Canis lupus familiaris: one gene and its partner. The protein of the gene in region 1 purifies or fractionates together with the protein of each later gene. This does not show direct contact. Links are inferred from orthologs where the notes say so. Each region holds a gene or a part of one and is shown in the gene's direction. Other genes may lie near its edges.

The links. Proteins that work in one complex are often made in the same cells at the same time.
Region 2: the proteins of DOCK1 (region 1) and ELMO1 purify together in Homo sapiens (affinity purification with western blotting; 12 studies listed by BioGRID and IntAct, counting the BioPlex papers as one, with this or other methods). This does not show direct contact. The link is inferred for Canis lupus familiaris from reciprocal best matches to the Homo sapiens genes DOCK1 and ELMO1.

What each region holds. Positions count from the first base shown.
Region 1 is NC_049249.1:36,263,972-36,268,461, forward strand, and holds the start of DOCK1 (dedicator of cytokinesis protein 1), read left to right. Parts: upstream 1-1,372; 5' UTR 1,373-1,476; coding exon 1,477-1,522; intron 1,523-2,165; exon of another isoform or gene 2,166-2,574; intron 2,575-2,950; exon of another isoform or gene 2,951-3,049; intron 3,050-3,256; exon of another isoform or gene 3,257-4,490. UniProt on the Homo sapiens protein: Involved in cytoskeletal rearrangements required for phagocytosis of apoptotic cells and cell motility. Along with DOCK1, mediates CRK/CRKL regulation of epithelial and endothelial cell spreading and migration on type IV collagen.
Region 2 is NC_049235.1:48,789,847-48,794,590, reverse strand, and holds the start of ELMO1 (engulfment and cell motility protein 1), read left to right. Parts: upstream 1-1,701; 5' UTR 1,702-1,738; coding exon 1,739-1,827; intron 1,828-4,744. UniProt on the Homo sapiens protein: Involved in cytoskeletal rearrangements required for phagocytosis of apoptotic cells and cell motility. Acts in association with DOCK1 and CRK. Was initially proposed to be required in complex with DOCK1 to activate Rac Rho small GTPases.

The sequences.
Region 1 (4,490 bases):
CGACGCAGGACTCGATCCCAGGACCCCGGGGTCACGCCCTGAGCCAAAGGAAGACCTTCAACCCCTGAGCCACCCAGGCGCCCCTGTTTGAAGTTTTTCCTTGGAGAAGTGTGAAGCCCCATTATTTATTGGTGTGGACACGGCCAGGGTGTGAGAACCCGCCTGCAGGGTGAAGGCCCCTTTCCCCAGAGCCCCTGCGCGTCTGCTCTGGCTCCTCTCCCGCTTCCTCAGTTTCCCTCCTGCACACACTCGCACTCGTGTCTGCGAGCCCAAGGAGGACGGGGTCGCTGGGCCTCGGCGGGGCTTCTCTGGGTCACTGCCCTCATTCCACACGCAAGCGAGGGGTCACCTCCCTGGGAAGCCCCCGCGACCAGCCTCGCGCCCCCCTTCCCGCCCCGAGCTCGGAGCTCCCCTTCCCACCCGCGGCTCCTCCGCGCCTCCTCCTCCCCCAACGGGCAGGTGCTCACTCTGAGTTCAGAGTGGGGGGACCCTGTGCGCCGCTCCGGGAGGCCCCCCTCGCGGTCCCCGTGCCCGTGCGGGGAGGACCCCAAGCCCCGCAGATCGCCCCCTTGTCGCTGCCCCCCCCACCCCCCCACCCCGCCCAGGGCGCCCCCCTGTCGTGCTGGGACCGCCTGGCCCCCAGGAGGCCTCCGGGACCCGGGGTGCCCGCGGGTCGGGGTCGACGTACCCGTGGGTCGGGGTGCGGGTCCCCGTGGGTCGGGGTGGGGGTCGGGGTCCCTGCGGGTCGGGTCGAGGTGGGGGTCGGGGTGGGGGTCCCCGCGGGTCGGGGCGGGGGGTCCCCGCGGGTCGGGGCCGGGGTGGGGGTGGGGTCGGGGGGTCCCAGCGGGTCGGGGTGGTGGTCGGTGTCGAGGTCCCCGCGGGTCGGGGTCGGGGTGGGGGTCGGGGTGGAGGTCCCCGCGGGTCGGGGTGGGGGTCGGGGCTGGGGGTCTCCGCGGGTCGGGGTCCGAGTGGGGTTGGGGTCGGGGCGGTCCCCGCGGTCGGGGTCGGGTCGGGGGGTCCCCGCGGTCGGGGTGGGGGCGGGGTCGGGGTCGGGTCGGGGGGTCCCCGCGGTCGGGGTCGGGTCGGGGGGTCCCCGCGGTCGGGGTGGGGGCGGGGGCGGGGTCGGGTCGGGGGGTCCCCGCGGTCGGGGTCGGGTCGGGGGGTCCCCGCGGTCGGGGTCGGGGTGGGGGCGGGGGGTCCCCGCGGTCGGGGTCGGGGCGGGGGGTCCCCGCGGTCGGGGTCGGGGTCGGGTCGGGGGGTCCCCGCGCAGGGCCGGGGCTCGGGGCCGCAGCCCGGCCGCCTCCCGCGGGCGCTCCCGGCCGTTCCCATCCGGCCCGCGACGCCCCGCCCGCCCCGTCCCACATGACGCCGCCTCCGCCGCAAACTTTTTCCTCCCATCCTGGGGCGGCTCGGAGGGAATGGAAGATGGCGGCCTAGGCGCGGAGTTTCCTGCCGGGCGGCGGCTGCGGCGGCGCCATGACGCGCTGGGTGCCCACCAAGCGGGAGGAGAAATACGGCGTCGGTGAGCGGGGGCGGGGGCGGGGGCGGCGGCGGGGGCGGGGGGGGCGCCCCGAGCGGCTGCCGGCGGCCCCAGAGCGCGGGAGGCGGCCGGGACACGCGCCCCGGTCCCCCCGGTCCCCCCGGTCCCCCCGGTCCCCCCGGTCTCCCCCGTCCCCCCGGCCCCCCGGCCCCGCGCACCGGCCGGCGGCGCAGCCCTGCAGCCTCGGGGCCCCGCGGGGCGCGCTCGCACCCCCCGCCCGGCCGCATCCTTGGGGGGCTCTGCGGGGCTGCGCCCGAGGGCTCGCTCGGGGAGGGCGGCGGCTGCAAGCGGCGGGCGGGGGGGGGGGGGCGGGAGCTGCGGGCCCGCGGCGGGACAGCCTGGGGTCGCCGCCCTCTGGGGTCCCCGCAGCGCCGGGGCAGTCGGGCGGCGGGTCGCGGGGGAGCGAGCGAGGCCGCCCCGACGGCGCCCTCCCCCTCCCCCCCCCCCCCCCCCCCCCCCCCCCCCCCCCCCCCCCCCCCCCGGGGGCTGCCCCCCCCCCCCCCACGCCTGACTTTGGTGACCTCGGTCCCTCCCGGGGCCCCTGTCGCCCGCTCCCGGGGTGCCAGGCCTGGCCCCACAGCTGGGCTGCTCCGACCTGGGGAAGCCTCCGGGCGGCCCTGGCCCTCGGGGCCCTCAGTGACCGGCTTGTCCCCACCCCCAGCTGTGGACAGTGCCGCGGTGGGCCCCGATCCACCTGCTCCACCTGCGGGGCCGCGGGAGGGGAGGGGAGGGGGCCCTCCGCCTCGCTCCAGGGACCCCTGCGGCCGGGCTCTCTTCCCTCCCCGTTTGTAGCGACGAGGAGGCGGAGGCTCAGACAGGGGCACAGAGGTCAGCGGCACAGGTGGCCTTTAGGGCTCCGAGTGTGTAAGCAGCGCCCTGGGTGCCTCCGTGTGGCTTCGTCTCAGCCGTCCTGATAGACACGTCGGGTCCCTCTGCAGCTCACGGAGGAGGTGTGGGGTGCACATTCTGTCCGTCCAGGACTGCTTCAAGGTGTGGTGGCCCTGGGGGTCCCCGCCGTGGAGAGCTCGCCGGAGGTGTGTGAGGAGTGAGCCGAGGACGGGGACACGGCAGGGACAGGTGGAGGGGGGCCTGGAGTGCAGGGGCAGGGAGCAGAGGAGCCCGACCGCAGACAGCCCTGTGGAGGAGGCAGGCAGCAGCTCTAGCTCTGGCCAAGGGCTTGCCTCCCCCCTCCCTGTGCACTGGGACACTGCAAGTGTCAAGTGTCAAGTGCCACTCCCACTTGACAGGGGCAGAGAGAAACTCCAGTGTTCACACCTCTGCTGAGTGCTACTTCTGGGATGGGACTCTGGCTGGGGAACTTAGGCCATCGCACGGAGGCCAGGAGATGGGGAGGGGCTTCTCCCTGGAGCACAACATTTTTGATACCTGACACCTTTCCTTGGCTCCCAGGGTGACCTGCTGGTGTCAGGGAGGACACTGTAGGTGTGGCACCTGTTGAGCTGCATGACTGTCCCGTGGAGAGGACCAAAGGGAGCACCCCGTGACAGAGTGAGCGGGGTCTCCTTGCTGGGGAGGTGACCCTGGGCAAGAACATGGCTGTGTCCCCTCCCCACGAACCTCCTCCCACAACTTCCAGAAGTTTCGCTAGCATTCACTGTGGTGACTTCTGACATCACACCTTTGGCTAATTGTGGTTTTAAGAAAAGTCTGTGCTGGAAAGTTTCCAAAGGACAGCGTCCTGGATGGTTTTGCCAGGCAATGCGAGGAACCAGGTGCGCACGGCAGTCTGGTGGAGGAGAGAGTGGCCCGCTAGGCTTGGTTTCACCAGGGCAGAGCCCAGGCAGCCGAAGGCGCTAGAAGGCCCTAGAAGGGACAGGACAGCACAGCACAGCGTGTTCAGCATCAGAAGGAGCTTTCAGTGACCAGAGTCCCGTCAGGCAACTCCTGATTCTGGGCAGAAGGCAAGGCGAGCGAGGATGCGCACATCCGGGTCAGCCCAAGCTCTTCACTGTTCTGGGAGTTGGCACTGGGGGGTCCCATTGGTTCGCCGGAAGGGAAGCCAGCAGTGCTGGGGGGCAGGGATTCATTCGCATTAGCTAACAGGCTGTTTCCGCCCAAGGGAAAAGTACTGGCCATCCCCCTTACCAACCACAGCGTTTTTTGGGGGAGCCTAACAACAGGGCTGTGTTTCCTCCGAGGGCTGTGGCGGGTCGTGGGTGGGCCTTGCTTCCACTCCGGCCACTGGATTGGCGGCATGAATGAATCACGAGGGGAAAGAAAATGATAAAACTCCATCTCATTTGGAAACATGAATCACAGCTCATTGTTTGCATGTACTTGGAATCTGTCAGAAGCATTGTTTGTAAATGAGACACTTTATTTTTTTGCAAAATGGGGAAAAGAGTAAACAGCTGATCTGTTGCTTCCTCAGCAAGGCAGGAAGTGCTGGTCTCTCCCCAGGCCCCCCATTTATTCCAGTGTGGGTTGGGGTTGCCCCCAGGAAATTTTCCAGCCTGTTAATGTCTCCCCCTGGGCTTGAGTTGAGTGGGTCAGTGTTTACAGATTTGGTTAATTAACACAGGGAGGAATTTTGACTTGCCTTCACGGGAGTGCGGTGGTGGTGGTGGGGGGAAGCTTGGCACAGGTGAACTTTTCCATCATCCCCCAGCTAGGCAGAGTCTGAGGTCTCAACGCTAATAAAACTATTATTGGTCCTGTTCCTAAAATGAGGTAAAAAGATGCAGTGTGTTTTAGAGTCACACCTGAGAATGGTGCGCTCACCTCTCTTGGTGTGAAGGTCAGAATAACGGCCCTCAAAATGTCCATGCCCTAACCCCCAGACCGCGTAAATGCGTTCTGTGACATGGCCGAAAGGGCTTTGCAGATGGGGTTAACGTAATGAAACAGAGTTGGAGAGATGACGTTGCATTAGCTACATGGGCCCCCAAAGCAGAGAACTTTTCTCTGGCTGGTCACAGAAGAGTGGATT
Region 2 (4,744 bases), on another chromosome or scaffold:
AGGTTATGCATATAGTAAGAGGTCAGATCAGGGCTGCTCATTAGAAATAGAATGTGAGCCACTAACGAGAGCCATCTGTGTAATCTTACTTTTTCTATTTGCCACATTAAAAATGTAAAAAGCCTGGCTGGCTCAGTCGGTGGAGCGTGGGACTCTTGATCTCCGGGTCGTGAGTTTGAGCCTCATGTTTGGTGTAGAGATTACTTAAAGAACCTAACTTCTTAAAGAACTAAAATCTTTTTTTTTTAAGATTTTATTTATGTATTCATGAGAATACAGAGAGAGAGAGAGAGAGAGAGGGAGGCAGAGACACAGGCAGAGGGAGAAGCAGGCTCCATGCAGGGAGCCTGACCTGGGACTCGATCCCGGGTCTCCAAGATCAGGCCCTGGGCTGAAGGTGGTGCTAAACCACTGAGCCACCTGGGTTGCCCAAGAACTAAAATCTTAAAAACATTTAAGAATGTAAAAAGAAAATAGTGAAAATATTCTAAATTATATATATGTTGTATATATTTACACTATATATATTTTATTTGTATATACATTTTACATATATATATTATATATATGTATTTTTTAACCTAATAAAATAACCCAGTGGACTGATCACATCTTACACTATTAGCATTTGTTGAAATGCTATAATCAGCATAAAAGTTTCTAACAAGCTATTTTACATTCTGTTTTTCATACAAAGTCCGGTGTCTGTTTTCCACTTCCAGAACATCTCAGGGCGAGCCACATTTGGAGTGTTCAATAGTTGCTTGGGGCTCTTGGCTGCCAGCACAGGGGAGGGGGTGGGACTGCAATTTAAGCAGGAGTTTTACCCTCCACCTTAGAGGCCAATGCCTCCCTGCTCCCGGGTTACCAACTTGGCCAGTTTGAAGGGAATGCATTAGTAACCGCCTTTGTCTTTTCGGGTAGATAGCTATTTTTTTCTTTTTGAATTTGTTAAGGACAGGTGTTTCTCCTGCAACCTTCCAACCACTGTCACTTGCCTCCTTGGCAGCTAGGCTGGGAGTTAGTATTTTTTGATTCTTTGCTTTGAAAAATCACTGGAGTGGGTCGCATTAGACAGTGCACCCCCAATACCGAGCTGGGGAGGGTAGAACGTCTCGCTTCGTGAAAAGTCATGCCAAGTTAGGGAGTCCTTGGGGTCACTGATGAGAACTGCAGGGCGCACATGCCTCGGGGGCTCCAACAGAGAGCAGCAGAGGTTGGGTTACCCTCGCCAGGCCGCTCCGGGGTAAGCCCAAACGCCTTTTAAAGTCGCTTTAAAACAACCCGCCTAAGTCTCCCCCCCCACCCCCTCGAAATTGCATGCCAGCTGCCAAAAATGAAAGCATATAAAAAGACGCCACGCGCCCTCGGCCTCCCGGAGGTGGCGCTATGACGGTGACGGAGTTAATTAGTGCCTGCAAAGCGCCGCGTGTGAGCTCATCCGAGAAGTCATGCTCTGCACACATATTATTTATAGCCGATCTGAGGCGTGCACGGTGCTTGACATTTTCCTTATTTTTAAGTAGGGGGACTTCGGAAAGTGGTGGGCGGCCCCGCACCCCGTCCCCGCCGCAGCCCCCCGCCCCGCAGGGCCGAGGCGGCGGCAGCTCCCGGGGCGCGCGGGCGGGGACAGCGCCAACCCCGCGAGTCCCGCGCAGGTGCCGGGGGCGGCGGCGGCCCCTCGGCAGGGCCGCCCGCCCGGGAGGGGACTCGGCGGCCGCCCGCGGGATGCCTGCAGATGCACAATGTGTCTCCGGCCAGCAGGAGGGAGGAAGAGGAAGTGAGAGCAGCGGCGGCCGGCGGCGCGGCGGCCGGCGGGGCCCCAGGGTGAGTGCGTGTGCGCGGCCGGGGATGGGCACGGGGTAGAGGCAGAGCCGCCCCCCCCCCCCCCCCCGCCGCGGCCCCGAGCCGCCGGACCCAGCCTCGGGCCCCCTCCGCGGCCGCGGGGCGCCGCCGCCGCCGCCGCCGTCCTGCGACCCCCGGGCAGGTTCGTAAAGTTTCCTGCGCTGGCGCCGCGCCCCGACTCGCTGACCTCGGCGCGGCCGGGGCGGGGGCCGGGGCTCGGCGGGGGGCTCGCGAGGGGGCGCCCTGCCCCGGGGCCGGGGGGCGCCCCGGGCGCCGCGGAGACACTTTTGCCCGCGCCCCCGCTCCCCCGGGGCGCCGCGGCTGGAGCCGGGGGCGGCTGCGTGCGCTCGGGGCGCTCCGCACTCGGGGAAGTCTGGGCAGCGCCCGGCGGCCGCTGCGGGAGCGGGAGAGGGAGCGGGAGCGGGAGCCCGAGCCGGGCAGGGGCGCCGGGAGGGGCGCCGGGGAGGGGGGCCGGCGGCTCGGACCCCGGCTTCTGCTCCCGCACCCGCGGGTGGGAGGGAAGCCCTCGGCGAGCGCGCCCCGGGGAGGGGACAGCGATGGGGACGGGCAGGGGGCGCGCTTGGGGCGCCCGGGACCCTCGGGGGAGACGGCGGGTCCCCGCCGCCTGGGGACGCGCCTGGGGACGCCGCTGGGACCGCGAGGACGGCGGGGAGGGGGCCCCGAAGGGCGGTCGCGGCTCGGGAGGGGGCGCAGCGGGCGGCCCTGCACGGTGGCGGCAGCGGGGCGCGGCCCGGGTCCCCGCCGCGGGGGGCGGCCAGGTGGCGGGTGGCTCCGAGGGAGGGAGACGCGCACGGCGGCGGCCCGGGGCGCGCGGGGGGCCGGGGCCGGGGAGCCCGAGCGGGTCGCGGGCGCGCGCGAGGGCGGGGAGCGTGGGAGCCCGCGGGCGCAGGCGGGGCGCGGGGGGCTCGGGGCGCGGGGGGCTCGGGGCGCGGGGCGCGGGCTGCCCGCCGAGTGGCCCCCGGTGCCGCCTCCCGCCCGGGGCCGCTTCAAGTCGGCGGCGGCGGGCGGGGGTCGCTGGCGGTGCGGCGGGCGGGCGCGCGGGGCCCGGCCGGGGCCCCTGGACAGCTCCCGGCTCCCGGCTCCCGGCCCCAGGAGGGTGCGCCCCGGCCCGCTGCATCCAAGGTTTCCAGAGGCGCCAAGACTAGGTTTCGCGCCCCGGGAGGCAGAGGCCGCAGGTCCTGGCTTGGGGGGGCTGGGAGGTGGGGGGCACCGGAAGACTTCAGGAGTGTTGCCGGCGTGGTTTTTTTTTTTTTTTCTTTCTTTTGTTTCTGAAATAAAAGTAACTGATGATGTGTATTTAGGCATGGACTCTCTGAGGGGTAACTTTAAGAACCCCAGGAGGGACCTAACCCTACTCAGGTTCACTTTTAGATCAAAAAGCCGGCAGCTCATCCCGCCAAGTGCCCCCCACCCCCCTCAGTGCCCAGCACTTGGCGGGATGAGCACTGGGTGTCATGCTATATGTTGGCAAATTGAACTCCAATTTAAAAAAAAAAAAAAATTTTTTTTTTTTTTTTAAAGAAAGGTAACAGTAACACAAAAATAAGAGGAAAATCTCTATAAGGGATGCCCGGGGGGCTCTGCAGTTGAGCACCTGCCTTTGGCTCAGGGAGTGACCCCGGAGTCTCAGGATGGAGTCCTGCATCAGGCTCCCTGCAGGGAGCTTGCTTCTCCCTCTGCCTGTGTCTCTGCCTCTCTCTGTGTGTCTCTCATGAATAAATAAATAAAATCTTAAGGAAAAAAAAAAAAAAAGCCAGACAGCAGCTCTTAGTAAGGGCCTCTTCTGGTCATGTTTTTCCTGTCTCCCCTCCATACCTACTTCCCAAGGTTATTTCAAGGATTATTGTCCCTCAGTTTACAGAACCTCGAAGCCCGGATGCCCTGCTGTCATGTGGCGGACTTTATTTTTTACAGTTGCCCTTCTGAACCCCTGCTCCGGACTAGGGTACATTTCCTCTCTCTGGAGGGCTGTGGTTAAATGTTGCCTTTTTTCCTACTGAATCTATTACTCAGATTTTTTTTTTTTTAATTAGATGGACTGGTTGTCTAATGGGGAAACTGTGAGGGAATGACCAGGAGTGTTGAAAGTCTGCAGGGGGATGGGGTCAGGAGGGAAGGGAACTGGGGGAGCAGCTTGGTGGATATCAGGGAAGGGGCCGTTGCAGGCCCAGGCCTGAGTCTTGTGGAATTCAGGTGCAGGCACTGGACTACGGGATGGGTGGTGCCATGAATGGTCCTATCTCCACCCCCCCTCCCCCATGTCTCATCTTCCTGCTGTTTTTAAATAAAATATTTATTTATTTTAGAAAAAGAGAGAGAGAGAGAGAGAATCTCAAGCAGACTCCCTGCTGAGGTGGGGCTCCATCCATCCCACAACCCTGAGACCATGACCTGAGCCAAAACCAAGTCAGCCACTTAACCACTTAACCGACTGGGCTGCCCAGGTGTCTCTCCTGCTTTTAACTGCAGCCATTCTGACCACCTTACATTCTTCTTCACCAAGTTCTCTCCCCAGAGCCTTTGAATATGTTACTCCTTTTGCACAAAGCATGTTTCCCCGCATTTCCAGATAGCTCACTCCCTTGTTCACTTCAGGTCTCTCTGCCCAATTGTCAGCTTACAGGCAGCCTTTCCTTATTAATTAATTAATTTATTTATTTAAAGATGTTATTTATTTGACAGAGAACCAGAGAAAAAGCATGAGCAGGAGAAGGGGCAGAAGGAGAAGCAGGTTCCCTGCTGAGCAGGGAGCCTGATTAAGGGCTCTATCCTAGGACCCTGGGATCATGACTAGTGCTGAAGGCAGATGCTTAATTGACTGAATCACCCAGGTGTCCCACAGGCGGCCTTTCCTGATTATCTCCTGTGAAATAGCAAC